2 linked regions of the Ovis aries genome follow. The protein of the gene in region 2 interacts with the protein of the main gene of each other region in a biochemical or structural test. Links are inferred from orthologs where the notes say so. Each region holds a gene or a part of one and is shown on either strand. Other genes may lie near its edges.

Evidence for each region.
Region 1: the proteins of RPS6KA1 (region 2) and GRID2IP interact in a test that uses a peptide from one of them, tested with the Homo sapiens proteins (2 studies listed by BioGRID and IntAct, with this or other methods). The link is inferred for Ovis aries from reciprocal best matches to the Homo sapiens genes RPS6KA1 and GRID2IP.

The regions. Positions count from the first base shown.
Region 1 is NC_056077.1:38,808,286-38,818,624, forward strand, and holds the start of GRID2IP (delphilin), read right to left. Parts: upstream 6,930-10,339; 5' UTR 6,924-6,929; coding exon 6,510-6,923; intron 1-6,509.
Region 2 is NC_056055.1:240,326,829-240,337,374, forward strand, and holds the start of RPS6KA1 (ribosomal protein S6 kinase alpha-1), read right to left. Parts: upstream 6,349-10,546; 5' UTR 6,334-6,348; coding exon 6,118-6,333; intron 4,959-6,117; coding exon 4,914-4,958; intron 1-4,913. UniProt on the Homo sapiens protein: Serine/threonine-protein kinase that acts downstream of ERK (MAPK1/ERK2 and MAPK3/ERK1) signaling and mediates mitogenic and stress-induced activation of the transcription factors CREB1, ETV1/ER81 and NR4A1/NUR77, regulates translation through RPS6 and EIF4B phosphorylation, and mediates cellular proliferation, survival, and differentiation by modulating mTOR signaling and repressing pro-apoptotic function of BAD and DAPK1.

The sequences.
Region 1 (10,339 bases), on a different chromosome or scaffold from region 2:
ATGAGTGAAGAGGCTCACCCTTGCCTGGTTTATGATACTGAGATGTTGGAAGTAGTATAAATATCTGACCTTATGGGGTAAACAACTGTAGCACATCCACTTGGGGGATATTTGTCTTTCCTTGGCTATGCAGCCAAGATGGAAGGAAGTCCCAAATCAAGCGGGAGGCAAGACCTTGGTCCTAATGGTGCAGCCTCGGGCAATTGGAGGCTGTTGCCCAGGGGCTTCGGTTCTTGAAGGAATGATGCGGAGATGTGGAGACGTGGAGCTCACACAGGGGTGTGACAGAGCCCTGTAGTGCGCCCTGAGCAGACTCATCCTGAAGGCTGCTTAGGACAGTTGTGTTCTAGGTTGCACATTCTTTCTTGGTTCTAAGCCGAGGAGAAGGGGGTGACAGAGAATGAGATGGTTGGATGGCATCACCAACTTGATGGACAAGAGTCTGAGCAAACTCCAGGAGATAGTGAAGGACAGGGAGTTATGCTGTGCTGCAGCTCATGGGGTCACAAAGAGCTGGACATTACTTAGCACCTGGACAAGAGGAGGTCTCCAGTGCCAACTCTGTGAACTGTTCCTCCCCCAAATTCCTTTTCTGCCCCAGTGAGTAGAGTCAACTTCCGTTGTTTCATAGCCAAGTTCACTCCATACTCTGCGATATTGGGCACCATTGATTCCAGGGTGAGCACTTTTTTTTTTTTTTTTTTTTGCCAAATCATGGGGCATGTGGGATTTCAATTCCCTGACCAGGGATCGAACTCATACCCTCTGCATTGAAAGGTGGAGTCTTAGCCACTGGGCTGCTGGGGGAAGTCCCTGTATTTTAAATTTTAGCATCTCTGAGATCACTTTGTGTCCTGTGGCTCACTGTCATTCCTGTGCACGTATGAGTTTTGTCATAGGTCTCATATTGTTACTTCCACAGAGTTATATACATTGCCGGTACTAAATATGTCCAAAGAAGTCTAAAAGCCCTCTATCAAATTAAGTGACTACAATTAACTGCAAATTAAGTGACAAGAAGATAAGGAAGCACGTATCATGGGTTAGATGGCTTGCAATTGACAGTGTCAGAGGTAGTGTGGTACCATTTGGTCAGACAGAATGATGCTGTAGGTCTTTATTTAAAGACTGTGGTATGCGGAGTGATGGCTAACGAGTTCAGGCCTTCTTTCTGGGTAGTTATGATTATGCTCAGTTGTGTCCAACTCTTTGCAGCCCCATGGACTGTAATCTGCCAGGCTCTTCTGCCTGTGGAATTTTCCAGACAAGAATATTGGAGTGGGTGCCATTTCCTACCCCAAGGGATCTTTCCAACGTAGGGATCAAACCCTCATCTGTGTCTCCTTCATTGGCAGGTGGATTCTTTACCACTAGCACCACCTGGGAAGCCCTTCTAGGAATGATGAAAATGTTCTAAAATCGTGGTAATGGTTGCACAGCTCTGTGAATATACTAAGAACCACTGAACACACTTTAAATGAATAAATTGTATGGTATGTGAATATATCTTGATAAAGCTGTTATAACATAATGGAAAGTGTTTGTGAGAGACAGGCAAGGTTTCAAATAGAACACACAGTGTTACATTTTTATCAGAGATAATTATACACACATCTGCATAGGGAATATGCACTGAAGTTTATAGTGATTTTGATTATTTTTACGCCAATGCTTTCCTTTTTTTTTTTAAATTTGGCCATTTGGCATATGAGATCTTAGTTCCCTGACCAGTGATCGAACCTCCGCCCCCTGCATGGAAGCTTGGAGTCTTAACCACTGGACCACCAGGGAAGTCCCTAGGTTTCCATTTTATTTTTTAGGCAGTGAGCTTATATGACTTATACAATCAGGAAAAGGAATGCATGTTATCGTTGTTCCCTTTCCCTCTTTATTTTTTAACTGTTGTAAAAATGCACATGACATAAAATTTATGTGCCAGCAAAAGTCCGTCTAGTCAAGGCTATGGTTTTTCCAGTGGTCATGTATGGATGTGAGAGTTGGACCATAAAGAAAGCTGAGCACCCAAGAATTGATGCTTTTGAACTGTGGTGTTGGAGAAGACTCTTGAGAGTCCCTTGGACTGCAAGGAGATCCAACCAGTCCATCCTAAAGGAAATCAGTCCTGAATATTCATTGGAAGGACTGATGTTGAAGCTGAAGTTCCAATATTTTGGCCACCTGATGCGAAGAACTGACTCATTGGAAAAGACCCTGATGCTGGGAAAGATTGAAGGCAGGAGAAGGGGATGACAGAGGATGAGATGGTTGGATGACATCACTGACTCGATAGACATGAGTTTGAGTAAACTCCGGGAGTTGGTGATGGACAGGGAAGCCTGGCATGCTGCAGTCCACGGGGTCGCAAAGAGTCGGACACGACTGAGCGACTGAACTGAACTGAAGATAAAATTTACCACTGCAGCCATTTTAATACGTACAGGTCAGTGGTATTAAGTACACTCACCATGCGGGATAACCATCACCACTCTCCAGTTCCAGGACTTTCTCATCCTCCCAAACAGAAACCCTGCCCCCATTCAGCAGTCACTCCTCATCCCCCCTTCCCCAGCCCCGGGGAAACCACTGATCTATTTTTCAGCGTCTCTGGATTTGCTTGTACTGAATATGTCTCATGACTGGAATCTTATACCATGGGCGCTTTTCTGTCTGGCACTGTTACTTTTTTAATGGAGCAGTTAACCACTGTCTGTCCATACTCCAGCAGATTCCCTGCCTTGTTAGTCGAGGGTCTGGGGGTGCCTCTGGGTGCTGACATCCTGAGCCGACCCTGAAGCAGAGGTGGGAGGCTGGGCGGCTGGGTGAGCCCAGGAGACGGCCATGCGTCTCTCTCAGGCCCATGTGGGTCCCAACTTCAGCCAGAGCCGGGGCCATTCATTACCCCTTCCACTCACCTCCAAACGTATCAACAAGCCCCGCATCTTTCCCCTCCACCCCCGACTCTCAGACGATGAAGAACCTGCCCCCTTCCTGGGCAAGGCCAACTCACAAGGCCGCCGAGTCACCAGAGTCCCCACTCTCTCTTCCTGCCACCTACTTGTCACTCAGCTCTCAGTTTGAAAGTTCCCTCCTCAGGGAGCCTTTCCTGACCACTCTGATCAAGTGGCCCCCAAGACTCTCTCACCTCCCTGTTGATTTCTTCCCTTCAGTGATCATCATCTGAAATAGCTAGTTTATTGAATTGTCCATAGACTCAATGGATGTGAGTTTGAGCACACTCTGGGAGATAGTGAAGGACAGGGAAGCCTGGCGTGCTGCAGTCCATGGGGTCACAAAGAGCTGAACACGACTGAGCGGCTGAACAGCAACAGCATCGCTTTGTCCACGTGCTTCGTTTGTTTCCCACAATGCGTGATGGCAGGCTCCCCTCTTGGTCCTGTGCACAGCTGTGTCCCCACTCCTTGCTGGTCAGAGCGCCGTGAGCAACAACTGCAAAACGCATGGATTTCAGTGACGCTACTGCCTCCTTCCCTTTGGCTCATACAAATTGTTCGCTTCTCTCCCCGCCTATAAATAAATCAGTAAACTCCTCCCTTGACTCCACAACCCTATCAGCCTCTTCTTTCTGTCCAGAGCCGTTGACCCTGGCTATTTTCATACAACTGTGCTGACCCGCTGCAATCCCCCTCACCCTTTGCCACAAGCGCTCCCTGACGCCGCTGCTCTGGCCAGGGGATCCCAGACGGCCCTCCAGCCCATGGTTTGCCCCTGAACTTCAGAATTGTATATACAACTGCTTCCTAAACGGCAGCACAGTGGATGAGGAAAGGCTTCCCGGAGAGGGTGACATCACAGAGTGTGAGCAGGTATTAGCAGGCGGCTTCGAGGGCACCCAGGCCAAGGCCACGTTCTGTGCACGGCTGAGTCCTAGCAACTGCACCCCAGATCTCCTTCACCAGACGAGATGGCCCAAGATGCAGACCTGACATCTTACTCCTGTCCGGGCCGAGCACAGGGCCTGGTGCATTCAGGGAGCGTTTACAGAGCTCAACCAAAGAGCTGTAGGCGGCCAGCCGTTCTCAAGGTGCGCGGAGTAGGCTGCAGTACCAGTCACCCCCTCCTCCAGAACCCACCAGGCCCAGGAAGGTCAGTGGCTTTGAAGCCAAAGCCAGCGGCAGCCTCGTTTCAAAGGAGAACATGGCTCTCTGGAAAGATGTTTTATGTAAGAAAGAGGAAAAAATAGCTCCTCCCTCCTGGGGCCCCACCACAGTGCGGTTTTGGTGTCAGCTATTACCCAGACGCTCTCAACCTACATCGAAGCATGAGGCACCATCACGGGACACTAATGGATTTTCTATTAAGTATCAGGCTCTGCAAGGAGGAGAAACTGGGGCAGGGAGAGTGCTGGCGAGAACCCGAGAGCTGATTGTCGGAAGCTGGTGGGGGGCTCCACAGCTGCCCTTGATCTTCTGGAGGTGGTCTTTTCTGGGGATTTATGGAGCTGCTTGGCGAGCTCTAACCAGAATCCACCACTCCCTGTTCCCCTTGTCAGAGAATGCGCAGAAGCTGGCCTGGGCAGCTGGTCAGACTCCTCCCTAGGCCGCAGCCTGACTTTGTTTCCCCACCGAGTCCGCTCTGCTCACCTGGGAGCTCTGACCACCTCCCCTCTGACTTTCCAGGGATTGGATGGCGTCTGGGGCGGACTTCTGGGTCTACACTGAGTCATCTGGGATGACTTTACCAGGTGAAATGAAGCAGACTTCACCAGCTGCTGTGGTCTGAATGTTTGTGTCCCCCCCCTCCAAAATTTGTGTGCTGAAAATCGAATGCCCCGGGCGATGATGGTATTAGGAGGCTGGGCCATTGGGAGGTGACTAGGTCATGAGGGTGGCGGTCTCATGAATGGAATTAGTGCCCTTATAAAAGAGCCTCAGGGATTTGCTGGCAGTCTGGTGGTTAAGACCTCATCTCCCAGCACAGGGGGTGCAGACTTGATTGCTAGTTGGGGAGGTAAGGCATCCCACATGCCTCTTGGCCAAAGGAAACCAAAACATAAAACAGAAACGATGCTGTAAATTCAATAAAGACAAAAAAAAAAAAAAAAAGGTCCACATAAAAAACCTTTTTTTGAAAAAAATAAAAAAATAAAAGAGCCCCATACAGATCCCTTGCCCTTTTCATCACGGGAGGACAAAACCAGAAGTTTGCAATCCAAAGCAGGCCCACACTCAAGCATGCTGGAGCCCTGTTCTCAAATCTCACGCCTCCAGAGCTGTGAGAGGGAAATCCTGTTGCTTATAAACCACCCAGTCTGTGGTAGTTCGGTTACGGCAGCTGGAACAGATTAAGGCACTGCTGCTGCTGCTACTAAGTTGCTTCGGTCATGTCTGACTGTGTGCGACCTTAGAGACGGCAGCCCACCAGGCTCCCCGTCCCCGGGATTCTCCAGGCAAGAACACTGGAGTGGGTTGCCATTTCCCTCTCCAGTGCATGAAAGTGAAAAGTGAAAGGGAAGTCGCTCAGTCGTGTCCAACACTTCTTGACCCCATGGACTGGAGCCCACCAGGCTCCTCCGTTCATGGGATTTTCCAGGCAAGAGTACTAGAGTGGGTTGCCATTGCCTTCTCTGATTAAAGCACTAGGGCTCACCAATGTTTCTAGAGGCTTCCCTCATAGCTCAGCCGGTAAAGACTCTGCCTGCAATGCAGGAGACCTGGGTTCGATTCCTCGGTTGGGACGGACGATCCCCTGGAGAAGGAAATGGCAATCCACTCCAGTATTCTTGCCTGAAAAACCCCCATGGACAGAGAGCCTGGCGGATCCATGGGGTCGCAAGAGTCGGACACGACTTAGTGACTAAACCATTTCTAGGTCTTCCCGTCTTCCTGGACACACAGAGGACTACATTTCCCAGCATCCTTTGGGATCAGTGGTGTGATTAGTTCTGGCCAATGAATATCCACTGAAAATGCAGGGATTCGCTTCCTGTCCCGCCCCCACCCCGCCCCGCTCACCCTCGGAGTCCTTAAGAGTTGATGGACAATCTTCTAGGCTCTCTTCTTCTACAGGGAATCTTGGAGCTTCATATTGAGATGGAGAGAATCTTCTGGGTTGAAGGAATCATTCTATGTTCTGCATTCTACTAATATTATTGTCTGTATTCTATTCATCTACATTTTGATCAGGCTGGTGGTTACAAGGGTGTATGCCCTATGTAAAGTTCATTAAACTGTACGCTTAATGAATGTGCTTTACTGTATATCTGTATTACCTTAATTAAAAAAAGAAAAAGAAAAGCAACTCCCACAAATCAAGCAAACAAAAATCACGAAAATTTAGGACAGGACTGGAAGCTTGAGCATCACTATATTTCTGATAAATCTTTCGTTAGATGTTTCCTTAGCTCCAGGCTCCCACTCCTGGCCTGAGGAAGGCCTGCCTGGCTCCTGACGCTCCGGGCCCACGGGGCCCAGTCCCCCAGAACAGCGTCCCTAGAGCCCCACCCCAGACCGCCTGTCCCTTAGGGCCCTGCCGCGCCCTGCGCGCCCTACCTTGCGGCTGAACTCCTGGGCTTTGCGCCTACGCTCTCGGTGCACGGCGTCGGGGCGCTTGCGGCCGGCCAGGCGTAGCAACTCGCGGCCCAGATAGAGGCCGCGGCTTGAGCGCGGGATCCGTAAGGCTGTGGTCAGCGGCTCGAAGCCGGAACCCGCGCCGGGGCAGCCAATGGGGCCGGGGAGCACGCCCAGGCTGGGCGGCACGCGCGGGCAGCGCCGGGCCAGGCGCACTAGGCGCTCGCGGCTCAGGCCGCCCACAGCCAGCCCCTCCACCTCCAGGATCTGATCCCCGGGCCGCAGACCCCCGGCGTGTGCGCTGCTCCCTTCCACCACATCCAGGACGAAGCAGGGACCCGAGCCCCCCAGCCGGAAGCCGAAGTCCTCTGGCCATCCCTGGTTGGTGGCCGGCATGGCAGTGGTGGCCGTGCAGCTGGAGGAGAGAGAGGTCACAGGGGATTCCTTGCGGCCTTGCCCACAGGGCTGCATGCCGCTCAGACTCAACGCATGTGCCAGTCTGAGCCACTGTTCTTCCTCGGCCTCTGTGTGGACCATCAGTTCTTAGGATATCGCCTGACCTCCTGGACCCGGCTGTGCCTGAAAGTCACCAGTTTCAATGTGACAAAAGGACTTCCCCTCAGTAGTTAGGAGTTCACAAACTCCTGCTGACTTTGGGGGTTATTTGCCTTTTGAATTGATCTTCTTGAGGAGCCATGATATGGCTGCTTTGGGGTGGGGGAGGGGATCGTCCTTTGGGCTCCTGGCTCTAGGACAGGCTCAGGGGAGGGGAGGTGGCTCTATTCTCTGAAAGCAGATGATGGCATGGGCTGGAGACACAAACACATCAGGGGTGGCAAGGGTGACTGCCTGGATGGAACAGTCTATCTGTGTATTTTTCCATATGTCTGATGAGAGCAGAGATTCCTTACAGGCATCCATGGATGACCGCTGAAACTGTAGGTAAGATATGATGTAAAGCCTTAGTTTTCTGGGGGAAGAGTCCGTAGTTCTAAGGAATTCTAACCTCTGGCTTAGAAGAACCTCTCGGGGCTGGATTTTGAAGGCCCTGGTTTTGGTCCCCCCCTCAGCCTTCTGAAGATGTTTAGACAGCCCTCCCACCCACCCTACGGGTTTTGTGTTCCTGTTGGCTCCATCTCCCAGGAGCTGGCCTCTCCCAAGACACTTGGAGTTGGGGGCAGGGAGGAGGCCCCAAGAGTATCATGGACTGGGGAGGAAAGGCCTTGAGTGACATCCAGTGGGACCTGTCACCTGCCACCAGAGGGCTTGGTGTGAGAACTCCTCACACTGGGTCAGGTGGGGCTGCCACACCCCGAGGCTGGCAGGCTCACTGCCGAGCCCACGCGGGGGCCCTGGTCCTCCTCTGCCAGGCAGTGGTGCTGCCACGGAGCCTCAGGGACACTTACCTTGTCACATGGGGGCAGTGAGGGACTCCTGGGTCCACTGGGCCCAGGTGGGGTCGGGGCATCCCTGGGTCTTGGAGGGGCCTGAGATCAGTTCTTGCCCCGTGAGTCAAGCAGTCAGCTCGTTCACAGGCAAAGGCGTGCTGGCTGGAGACTGATGGGGCCAGGCCCCTGCCCCCCTTCCACGTGCATACTGGCTCTGACCGGTGACCTGCAGCAGGGCTGCTGCTCAGAGGCCAGAGCAGCTTGCTCCCAACCTGTCTACACCCAACCTGGGGAGCCACAGAGCTGAAGAGGCTGCCGGCACTCAAACCCCTCGGCGCTTTTGAGATGCCTCCAGCCCTCCAGTGCGTCCTCAGCCCTGCAGGTTGACCTAAGCCCTCTCCCATCCATGTAGAGCTCCCCTCTTTCCCCTTCACCTGGAAACAGGAATCCAGGCTCCCAACAGGGCTCACCAGGGGAGGCATCCCAGGCTACCCGTCCCAGAATCTTGGGTACCGCGCCTCCCTCCGGGTTTGCTCACCTTCCTCCCTGGTGGTGGCAATGGCTGTGGGGACAGAGCACGGTGCTGGCGGGACACCTGGGGACGCTTGCTTATTGCCAGTCCTCTGCTGCTCAGGGCCTTGGCACTGGTTACTAATGCATCAGAGGTGACAGCTGGAGTTTCTAAGGCAAAGTGATCCTCCGAGTAATCTGAGAAGGCCCCCGTTACCAGGAGGACCAGCAGCATGGCTGGACAGCTTGGCCAGCACCCAGAGTGGCTGGCTCCTGCTGCACGGTCCTGGGGGGATGCACAGGGAGGCTCAGGCAGGAGCCAAGACTGACCAGAGCTGGGCCTGGGGCTGGGTCCACCCCTGAGGCTGCAGAGCTCGGCAGGTGCGTCAGGAGGATTCAGTTGGGCTGTTTTGGGGGTTCTATGGGGGTTCACTCAGTCCAGTGATGGCAGAGGGGACCACTGAGACTCACTGAGGCATGATCTGATCCCCACAGAGGACACCACTGCCTGAGCCCCACAGGCCAGGCTTAGTGGTGGGAGAAGGGGAGACCCAGGCCAGAAAAAGAGCTTGGGATGAGAGAAAAGATGCTGACCTAAGTAATTATGGAAAGGACCGGGGTCTGTGAGACGAAAGGCAAAAGGAACCACGCATAACACTGTGCTCTAGACGGTAAGGGTGGCCCCTGCAAGGGTGCAGGTTAACAGTTCTGAAATCATGCCATACATGCACATGGGCGTTGAGCGATTATGTCCGCAGACCACGGGAGCCGGATTCCTCTGCGTTGTAGTGGGAGGTTGCAGAGGAGCCTACAACAGACAGAAACGTTTACAGATATGCGCATGGACACAGCTTAGTGGCAGTGGCAGTGCTCGGTTGGATCTGACTCTTTGTGACCCCATGGACAGCAGCCCGCCAGGCTCCTCTGTCCACGGGATTCTCCAGGCAAGAATACTGGAGTGGGCTACCATTTCCTCCTCCAGGGACTCTTCCGACCTAGGGATCAAACCTGGGTCTCCTCCATGGCCGATGGATTCTTTACCACTGAGCCACCTGGGGAGCCCACAGAGGTTAGTATCTGCACCTAAGTTTGCCGGCTCTGTCAGCTGAGAGGGCTTGGAAGCAAGGATGTTCCCCCCAGCAATGAGCACATCCAGTGTGAAAGCTTGATTTCTAAGATCCCTGCCCAGAACAAGGAGCCCAGGCTCCTTGGAGAAATGGCTGATTCCAGGGCTGGGGCGGGAAATACAGGAGGTGAGCCTGGACCATCTTCTAGTGCCAGAGAGTAAGCACGTGTGGACACACACACACACACACACGCACCATGGGGTTTGTCAAAGGGACACAGAAGCCAAAGGAAAGGGCTTCCCATAGCCGAAATTGGAACAATCTGAGCAAGAATGTAAATCATATAGACTTGGGTTGTAACATAAAGTATAAAATAAATATCAACAAGTTTACACTAATATAAATAACTGGTTAAATAAGTGGGGAAAAGAGACAATCACCTGGACAAGCTACTTCTCCTTAAAGGAGAACTCCCACCCTTAAGTGTGGTCTATACTTGGCGACTTCTTTCCAAAGAGGAGACAGTACTTTACGGTGGAGAAGAGTGATGGACATGACCTCAGTCAGGTGGTCAAGGTGATCACCATCAGGGGAAGATCAGGTTGATAGCAAGGACCCTTTATATGATTGACAAGAATGGCACTTTGCCTGTGTGGTCTTCCTCTGCAAAACCTGTAACCAGTCTGCCTATGAGAGAAACTTCAGGCAAACCTAGATTGAAGGACGTTCTGAAAATACCTGACTCTTCAAAATGGTCAAGGTCATCAAAAACAAGGAAAGTCTGAGAAGCTGTCACAGATTGGAGACGTGGTGACTAGATGCAGTGTGGGATCTTGGGATGGAGAAG
Region 2 (10,546 bases):
GGAACTGACACACACAGATGCACGCAGTCCGCTGATCGGAAACCATTTCCACAGACATCCCTTCTGTGGAAACACACCCCCACGTACACAGAACTTCCCCTTCCAGTCCCCACAGAGCCCCTGACAACAGTCTGAGGAGGCCTGCTGGCTGTTGTGCAAGATGCTTCCTTAGACTGAGGCCTCTCACTGTACTCCAGCTTCTTCTGGAGGGCCTGGGGTCTGGGGTTGCCCTGAGAGCCCCAAAGCTCTCTGGGTCCAGTACCAGCTACGCCCCCTGCCCCGACTCCTCACTACCCCTGTATCCTTCAGAAGCAAAGGAAGGCTCCCCATGGCTGGCAGGGCACAAGAAGGGGCAATAGGAAGGAAGCTGTCTCCAAACTGCCTGCACTGGAGGGGTGTGTGCAGGGCCTGGGAGCTGCCGGTGGCAGCAGCGGGGAGGACAGCACCAGATCCCACCCCCTGGTCGTGGCCCCATTCCCCCCATAGATACTTCCTCTTATTTACTTCCTCCCACAAGGCAGCTGGAGAGAAGCCCAGAGCGCGCCCCCCGCTCCCCGCCGCCCCCGCTACCACACTCCCTGCCTGATCCCTGGCCTGTAGGGTCCCCATCCCAGGCCTCCCTCCAGCAGCTGCAGCCCAAGCCCACCTGCTGATCTCTGGCCCTAACGGACATCAACAGCCCCGCCCCCAGCTGGCAGCATCTGCAGGGCCTCCCAGGGGTGCCCCCTCTCATGGGGCAAACATCCCCAGACACCTCTCCCGGCATGCCTCTCGGCAGTGGGTCCACAGTTCCCAGGCCTCCTTGATAGGCGAGCTGGCCTTGGGCCCGAGGCCAGGACTGGTATGCAGTGACAATGAGAATTGTGCCTCTTAACTGAGTATTTATTGCAGGAAGCCATTCTTTCCTTCAGCTTTTATTGGTGTGCATTCTGCCAGGCTCGGGTGTCCTACTCCAAGGGAAGTGCTGTCATCCCATTCCAGAGAGGAGGAAACCAGACTCAGACAGAAAGTGACTTGCCCAAGGCCACATGGCCAGAAAGGCGGACAGCTCGGGACAAAATCGAAGCCTACAGGCCGAAGCATTTCATCATCACCCTCCTTGCGAGGCTGCCAGCCTGCATCCTCTCTGGACATTACTCACAGCTATGGGCCCCCGGCTGTGTCCCCAGACCAGTAGCCAGACACTAGGAGGCGCACGTGTTAAGGAAGTCTTCAGCCTTGTCCTCAGGCAGCTCCCCGAAACACACAATAACGACACGGAAGCATGGTGTGCAACAGCGCAGGCAAAGAGCTGGAGGTGCCCACAGGTTCTCACTACCTGCCTGGGGTAAGATCTGGGAAGATGCGACAGTCTAGCTGGACCCTGAAGATGAACAGGAGCTGGCCAAGCAGAGAGGAGGAAAAAAGACACTCCATATAGAGAAAGACCAGCACGGAAAAGAGGCCAGGAGGGCAGGGTGGGAAGTTAAGAACCGTCTACTCATTTGCTCCCGTGCAACCCTCACTCCCTATCTAAGCCTCAGTTTCTTCTGTAAAATGTTCGCACCCTCAAAAGGTTGTTTTGAGAAGCAAAAATGGGCCACAAAGATAAAGGGATGTGGTAAACAGAACTCCCTGAACAGCAAGGGCTTTCTTACTGCGGCAGGGGCTCCTCTGGGCAGGCTGAAGGGACAGAGTCCATGGGTCTCAGGTGTTGAGAGGGTGGAGGGTGAGGGAGCCTTCCCCGGCCAGTCCCAGGGAAATTCCCCCCCAACACCTGAGACTCCCAAGGCTCCCCGAAGTCCACAATCACATCCTGCCTGAGCTCCAGCCAGGGGAGCATGAGGGATCCGGGAGGGATCAGGGTTTCATAAACAGGAAGAGAGGAGGGGAGGGGGAGAGACGCTCAGCTCTCAAAATAGACCTGCAGGCGCTTCCAAGGGGTCCAGCTCCGGAGATAGCCAGGGAGGGGGCCTGGGGTGCCCAGTCCACCTCCAGGAAGGGAGGGAGGGTGAATGGAGCCCCAGCATGCCTGAAGGACCAGGTGCACACGGGGAGCTCTCATCCTAGACTGCAGTCCTCTCTACAGCTGCTAAAACCCCAATCCTTTCTTCTGCCTGAAACGGATCAAATAAACAAGCATTAAACACCAATATGATGTCTCAAACACTGCTGGATGCTCCAATTTATGCACATCACGTTCCCTCCTTCTGGGTGGCCCTGACGGGTGGACTCTATTCTCCTTTTACAGAAGAGGCATCTGAGCCTCCGAGGGGTAAAACAACTCGCCCAAGGTCAGCTGGCAAATAAGAAAGAGGAGCAGAATTTTGAACTCAGAGAGCCTGCCTCTCCTCCAAGTCAGGCCTCTCCTCCCCCTGGAAGGCCCACTTCTCTCTCCAGCTGCCCAAATCCCGGCTTTCGAGGCCCAGGCAAACACCAGCTCTGCGGGGAAGGTGACCTGGTGCCCTACAGCCCACGTTTCCTCTTCTGCCACACACAGCAGTGCCCGTCCATCTGGTCCACCCTCAACCTTGAGAGTGGATGCTACTGGGTTCCCTGAGACGTGCTCATCTCATCATGCCCCAGAGAGGCAGGTAGGAAGGTGGTATATTTCACTGCCCACTGTCAGGCCTGGCACTGAATGGAGGTTCTATGTGCCCACAGCCTGTTCCTCCCCATCACTGCACCCACCACACAGCTTTCTTGTCACCACCCTTCCCCAATGCTGAGAACTCCCTGAGGGTGGGGTGTTGACTTCATTTTGGGATTCCCAGTGCCATGAACATGTGATGATGCAAAAGATAAACCAGCTCCTTCCACTGCACAAAGCGATGAGGTTCTGACCACAGGCTGAGCGCCCCCTGGTGTGTTGAGCCCAAAAGTGGGCACTGGGGATGCTACAAGATTCTGCAGCAACAGAGAAGGTGAACGAGCAGGTGCCGAGTAATGACGGAAACTGTGCTCACGGGGACGCAGTGCTCCTCCTCTTCAGCACTCAGTGTGTCTCCTGGGCTGGGAGGAATGTGGGTTCTGTGGTCAAGCAAGACCTGACTTCATTGCCCATTAGCGATCTGACCTAGGGCCTCAACTTTCTCATCTGTAAAATGGGGAGAGTAACAGTTTCTACCTCTGGGGATGTTATGAGAACCAAATGCAAAGCTCCTGGTATGGCACTTTCTCTCCCTTAACGTAGCATTCAAGGCTCTCCCTGCCCCATCCACGTCCAGCTTCATCTCCCTTCCCACCCCAGGATCTGCTCCAGAAGCAGGAAGGAATCACAGACTTGGGATCAAGAGTAGTTTGTCCACCTGGGTAAGTGCTTGTCTTCTCTTAACCAGCCCCTCTAGCTCTGAGGTGAGAAGCTGTACTCACCACCAGTTCCCTCAAAGCTGCAGGCACCTTTGCAACCCCTAGAACTACAGCCCCAAGATCTGAACATCTGGACCTTCACTGGAGACCTACAGTCCCTTCATTACTAGGCAACCAGGAGCAGCTACTTGGTGGGAAGAGATTCTCCCACAGGAGGCTGAGACATGGGGCTGAGACAAGTCAAGGGGCTCAGTCCACATGACTCGGCCTGGCCTTTGGTGACCCAAGGTTGCCATAGTAACAAAAAGAGGAGGGGTGGGAGCCTACTTCTGTTGGCCTGCCCTACCCCAGGAAACTCGGCTCCCTTATCTTAGGAGGCTGAGTCAAGACAAACATCAGGACCAGCCCTCAGTCTATCTCAAAGGTCAGGCTTATGGTCTGGTACCTAAGCAGACCCAGGCCAGAAGGGCGCGGCCACTAACAGGCAATGGAGCTGAGCAACACGGCCAGGCACTCAGGCTGCCAGGACTAAAGCTACTGTGTGCCAGGCAGCTGCTCTTCTATCTGTTCTTCACGTCACTCCTGAGAGGTAGGAGGCAGGTACCATTATTCCCATTTTACTGCTGAGGAAACCAGACTCAGAAGGGAGAAGCTTCAGGTCAAATGGCGATGGTGGAGGCAGGACCAGAACTCAGGTAGGCTCTACCGCCAGAACTCAGGCCCTGTCCTGCCTGGTGGCTTCCACAGCCCCTCCCCAGCCAGCAGCTCTGCGACCTCACAACGCCTTGAGAACTGGGTGAGGCCATTCCCAGCACGGCGATGAGAAAGCCCAGGCCAGACTGTCCCCCAGCCTCATAGTGCTGTCAACACACAAAACCAGCAACAGGCCCTGGGGGCTGAAGGGATAGACCCAAGGGGAGCAGAGAGCGTAGAGCTGAGGGAGCCGGCCTGGGAGGGGGCCTGAGAAACGGCCTGTGTGCCCCACGCCAGGCACTGGGCCCTGGTGTGACTGGAGGCCACCAGGCTCCCTCCAGCACCAGGTGCCATGCCCTCGTCAGGCCCAGTGGACTTAAGCCTCTCCCATCACCCCTTCACCCTCTTAATACAGTCAGCCAAGCCACCACGAGTAAATAAGCAGAGGAAGCGTCCTGGTCTGGGGGACGGGTAAACCTGAGTTCTAGCCTGGCTTCTGACCCTGTCTGGGCCATAGTCCACTCCCCTGAGGAACCGGAAGGCTGAAGCAAGTAATCCTGACATACGGGGCTGCCTCGAGCATTAGGTGGGCCCAGAGAAGGACTTGGGCTTCCCTGGTGGCTCAGATGGTAAAGAATCCACCTTCAACACGCAGTTCAATCCCTGGGTTGGGGAGATCCCTTGGAGAAGGGAACGGCTACCCACTCTAGTATTCTGGCCTGGAGAATCCCATGGACTGTATAGTCCACGGGGTTGCAAAGAGTGGGATATGACTGAGTGACTTTCACTTTCAGAGAAGGAAGGCTGAGCTGGGCCAGGGGGCCTCACACCTGGGCGGGACAAGGTCAGTGCCTCCTTCCTTGTCCACTCCAGGCAAACAGTCACTCCACCCCTGACGATCCCTAGCTCCGGTGCTAGGGCCTGGCCCTTACCTTGGATGGCTGAAGCCCAGCTTCCTCCCCTGAGGCTTGTCCATTCTGGAAAAGAGAGGAGAGAGTGGGGAACACTGTCAGAACTTACCAGAGTGGCACAAAGCAAAGACAGACCCTATGGGGCGCCCCAGCCCTTGGATGCTCCCAGTGGCTAGAGGGGCCCTGGAGGTGGGGGCGGGAGTTCTGGGAGGGGACAGGCCTCAAGCCTTCTGCAATCGCCCCAACTCAGGTAGCCCGCTTTGGGCACCCCTCCCATGTTCTCTGCCTAGAAAACATCTCATCTTTGAAGGTCCGGCTCAAATGCCATCTCCTCCCAGTGAGAAGGAAAGGACTGTGGGTGTGTGCCAACTAACCAACTCAAGAGGCCTCAGTTTCCCAATCCGTAACATGGGTATTTACATCCACCTCCTAGAGTTGATGCAAGGGCTGAAGGACATAAAGTCTGGGAGAGTGTCCAGCCCAGAAATGCTCTGGCCCTGCCTGCTCTGGGACCCCTCTCCATCCTTGCAGAATCACTGCTACTCCCTATGAACCTTCATTTTACCACTTATCACAATGCAGGGACTACGGACTCGTGGGCCGTGCGTGCTAAGTCACTTCAACTGTGTCCAACTCTTCGCAACCCCATGAACTGTAGCCTGCCAGGCTACTCCAGACAAGAGTATTGGAGTGGGTTGCCATTCCCTTCTCCAGGAATCTTCCCACCCAGGGACTGAACTCATGTCTCTTAGGTCTCCTGCATTGGCAGGCAGGTTCTTTACCTGGGAGCCCCTCCTAATAAACGGGAAGTCCTGGGAGGCAGAGATGAGGCTTTTGGTGCTAACAGCTGCTCTCTTCCGCGCCCCTGCTGCACGCCGGCACTGGCTTTGGTACCTCACATCTGTGGCACCATTAAACCCTCCTGACCTGGGAGGTAGGCCCGGGTCCCATTTGGCAGAGAAAGAAACTGAGGCGCAGAGAAGCCTAGTGACGGCACCTAAGCCACAATGCTGCTCAGCGGGGATTCAAAATCCGGTCTCTGACACCAGGAGGTGCTCAAGAGACTGAGGAAGAGGAGCCCAGCGCCCAGCCAGGGCAACAGAGATGCAGGCATGGCAGCTCACCCCTGCACAGTCCTCCAGACCCCAGACTTCACCCTCCGCTGGGTGCTGTCCACCCTGGGTATACCACCCCTTTCCTGTGTGATATGAAGTGAGTAACCTACCCCATCCGGGCCTTGGGAAGCTAAACGGAGCGGTCTCCAGCCCTCATGTGCAGCAAGAGTGTGGAGAGACCAGGAAGACCCAGGACTTTGGACCAGGGGCCAAGTCCACAGGGCAGCTGCAGTCTTGTTGGCAGCAGCAGGCACAGCTGTGCTTTCCCCATTATATAATCTCCCTGCTCCTGGAGCAGCACTCCCTCCCCGCCAGTCCCTGGACATCCTGCCCCTTGAACCCCCTTAATGCCCCTAATCCTCCCCAGGGGCCAGCGTTCTGAGGCTCCACCATACGTGTTCTCTCTCAGGAGCTTGGGGAGCAGGACTGGGTGGAACCAGGCCTGAGGGGAGGAGGAGGCGTGAGGCCTTCGTAGACGGAGTTCCACTTCACCCAGCATTGCAGACTCTTGACATAACTCTGGATGGTAACAAGGGCCTACACACCAGCCTCCCCCATTCTAAGCCCTCACCCTTCCTAAAACTCAACTGCAACCATTACATTTGAGTGACTCCCCTGGTCACTCACTTACTCCTTACTGAGAACTTTCTAGGTGCCAGGCCTCAAACTCTTCCACGGCTTCCCACTGCCTGTGGGATAAAGTCCCAGCTCCTTGGTATGGCATTCAAAGCCGTCATCTCCAGCTCCCACAGGTGATTAATGTGGGTTCTGGAATCTGACCTTGTGGGTTCAAATTCTGGTTTCTATCACCTGCATAACCCTGAGGTTACTGCATTTCTCAAAGCTTCAGTTTCCTCATCTGTGAAATGGGGATAAAAGTAATGTACCTCACTGGGTAGCTTTAAGAAGCAAGCAAAATAGTGTCTATAAAATAGATACATCCAGGGACGTCCCTGGTGGTCCAGTGGGCCAAGACTCTACACTCCCAAAGCAGGGGGGCCCAGGTTGGATCCCTGGTCAGATCCCACATGCCACAACTAAAGATCCCAAGTGCTACAACTAAGACCTGGGACAGCTAAATAAATATAAAAAAAAAAAAAAAAGTACAGCTTGCATATAACTGGTCCACAAACAATCACCATTATTACTATCCCGATTTTGGAGCTAAACTGAACAAGCTGAGACCCTGAACAGGCCAGCTTGTCCCCAAGCATTCGCACGGTGGCTCCTTCTACCAAGAAAGTCTTTCCTGCCCAGTCACTCCAGCACACTCCTGGTCTTCTTTGAGGACCTGGTTAAATGTCTTCTCCTCTGTCCATACAGCCTTAAGTCCTTTCCTCCCTCCTCTGGGCCTCACAGCACCGAGCAAACCTCAGATTAACTCAGGGAGGAGCCACGGCTTGTCCGGTATTGTCTCCTTGGCACCCAGCTCAGGGTCTGGCACATAGCCTGTCAAATGAAACCTCAAACCAGCAAAGCAAGCAAGGAGGCCAGAGTAGGTTCTATTCCTCCCATTTTTCAGATGAGGCTCAGAAGAGCTGAGTGACTTAACTGTGGCCTCTCTGTTAGCAGGTGACAGACATGGGGCTATGACCCAGAGTCACGTGAATCCCCAGTGAGAGACAGGAGGAGGTGGTGGGTGAACCCAGAGGTGGGCGCTTACAGGGCAGTATCTTGGAGGACTCAGGGAGCCTGTCTGGCTGCCTCCAGTCCCGGGGTCTGGCTTGGGTGCCATCCTCATGGAACGCCCAGGCCTGTAAGAGCTGATGCACAAGGTCTCTAGGGGGAAATGGGCGGCCCTAGCGAGAGCACTAGGAGTGCAGAGAGGACCACAGGTGACCTTCCCCTTGAAAGCCAGGGTCCTGGGAAGACAGGGCGCATCTGCCCTTCCGGACTGACTATTGTACAGAGGGTGGAAAGAGCACAGGTCTGCAGCCACAGAGACAGAGCCCCTGCTGCCGGCTCTGCCAGCCACTCGCTCTGAATGTGTCTGTCACATTACTTCTCGAGCCTCGGTCTCCTCACCTGTACTAGGCGGGCAGGTCTGTCTTGTTCACAGTGGCACCCTGCTGGTTGGAGAAGTACTTGCCGCATGGTAAGTGCTCAATAAACACTTGCTGAATGAATGAATGAGGACAATGATACTGACCTTGCAGAATACTGAATGGAAGACCTCGTCTATGAGTCTACAGGAAAGGCCTTCTGGCCCCTAAGAGGGTGGAGACTCTCTCCTCCCGCTTCCTCAGAGAGCAATACTCATGGGCACAGCGACCGAGGGCCCCCAGGCCATTGCGCCCCCTCCCCAGAGGTCAGAGATGGGTTCCAATAAGCATCCTTCCTTCCCACCCAAGCCACTCTGTCTTGGGAAAAAAAGCGTCCGGGGCAGTGTCTGGAGAAGCTGGGCAGCAGATGGACAAAGACAGCACGTGCCCCATAGGCAGGAAGCAGCCCCAGGAGTTGGGTTCAGAGCCCAGCACTGGCAACTCTGCCCGCTGCTGGAAGCTGGGGGCCAGGTGCCAGGGCTGGCGGGAACTACTAGCCCTCAGCCAAGGCTGGACAGGAGAGTGTGCCAACATCCGGAGCCTCTCCTGGAGTACCTTCCACCTGGCCGGCTTGATCCCAGCTCTTGCCTGTCTTTAAGTCTCCCCCCTACTAGGTAGAAGACAGCGAGAGATCTGGATTCTAATTCTGACTCTGACATTAATTCGCAGGCCAGGTCCCTCTGAGTTCAGTTGTTCCATATGATGACAGAGGTAATACTCCCTACCCTGAGAAGCTGTTTGCAGAATTATTTGACTTTAATAAGGCCACCCTGGTGGAGTGCGGTGGACAGCACAGAGCAAAGCTCTGCACAGCAAGGCTGGGCCTGCGGCCACGGTTACTGAGCCCAGCAGGGCCAGGGGAAGGCCCCGGCAGGATCCTCACCCACACTTCCAGTGGGGTGGCTCCACCTGGGCCACACCCCAGACAAGGCCCTGCCTCTGAGCAGCCCATTCTCGGCAGCTTCACAGGGAGGGCAGATCCCAGGCCTCTGCCAAATGCCCTGCCCAGCCCCTCGGCCTGCCTCCCTCCCGGCCAGGAGCCTGTACCTGCAGGTCAGGGTGCCGTATCACTTACGTGTCACCTGGGCTGAGAACAGCAAGGCCCTGTTCTCCAGTAAGAACCTGCACCCAACCCGCGCCCTGGCCGCCCCATGGCTCCTGTTACCCAAACAATAACACCGAGTCGCCTGGCACTTCCATGGAGTGGGGAGGAGGAAAATGGGCAGCACTCCTTAGGCCTCCGTACCCTCTCAGGCCCAGAAAGCAGAGGCCAGAACCCAGCCCTGGCCAGTGGAGAAACAGAGGTCCAGAGAGGCTATGGACTGACTGAGGGTCACACAGCAAATTCAAGGTGAAGCTCCTGGAGAAATCACAGCCCCCCTAAACCAAGGAAATAAGCCTGCCTTTTTTTCCTCTCAAAGTTCAGGTGGAGTAGGACTAAAACTGAATTGAGTTTCCTGTTTAAACCTGGTCCCTGCCTCAGGATTTCCCAAAGAGAAGCAGGAAGCAGTGCCCTGGACTGGGAATTGAATTTCTGGGTGTCTGCCTTCCCAACTAGTATAACCCACAGTAAGTCCCTCCCTGGCCTCTCCCAGTCCACCTTCCTCTAGGGAGGCCTAGGTCTCAAGTGTGTGCCAGGACAAAGGAATTTACCTCTGAGCGCCGCCCCCAACCCCTTGTGCCCCAGTCCTAGAGGGTGGGCAGCCCGTGGCTAGGGGCTGCAGAGGGCCGTGTTCCTCAGTTCGGAGGGTGAGTCAGCGGGAGAACTTCTGAGCTGTGCAGGGCCCGTAAAAACCCCATGGCAGGGATCCCAGAGCAATTTACTCCAAATTGCGCCTTCAGGTTGGTTACCTAATCTTGCCGCGCCCACCCTCCAATAGCCAGTGTCAGCGGTGACCATCCCTTTAAAGGGGCAGCACACTCCGGGTGCTGGGGACCCAGGATCCTCACTCAGCTCCCAACCAGCAGCCCTGAGGGGCAAGGCACTTGGTGGTTGCCCCAGGTAAGAGAGGGCAGAGGAGGGGATCTAAGTGGGGAGGGGTCCAAGCCCCAGCCAGAAGAAAATCACTTTGGGTCTCAGGCTCTCTGAGGTTTCCATCATCTCCCTCATATCCCCACATACCCCTGGAAAGGCAGTATCACCCACTGTCCTTCCCATAATGAGGCTGAGGGGAAAGTTTTCTCCATCTGCCAGTTCAAGGGCTTGACCTTGACCCTGGGGGGCACAGGAAGAGCAGGCCTTCTGCAAGGTTAGGGCCTAAACCACAGTATCCTCAGGAGGCAAAAGTTGCTTTTGGGAGAAGCTAGGCAGGCAAAGGCCAAATTCCCTAGAGGCCCAACCCTTCCTATGGGAGGGGGCAGGAACCAAGGACCTCCTCATCTCCAGGAATAATTTTCTCAAAGGTCTAAGGACTTTTCCCCATTCTTTTCTCTCCAGCCTGGGAGAGGTGACACAGGCGTCCTCTGACCCTAGCCTGGAGCAAAGAAAACCAAGGGT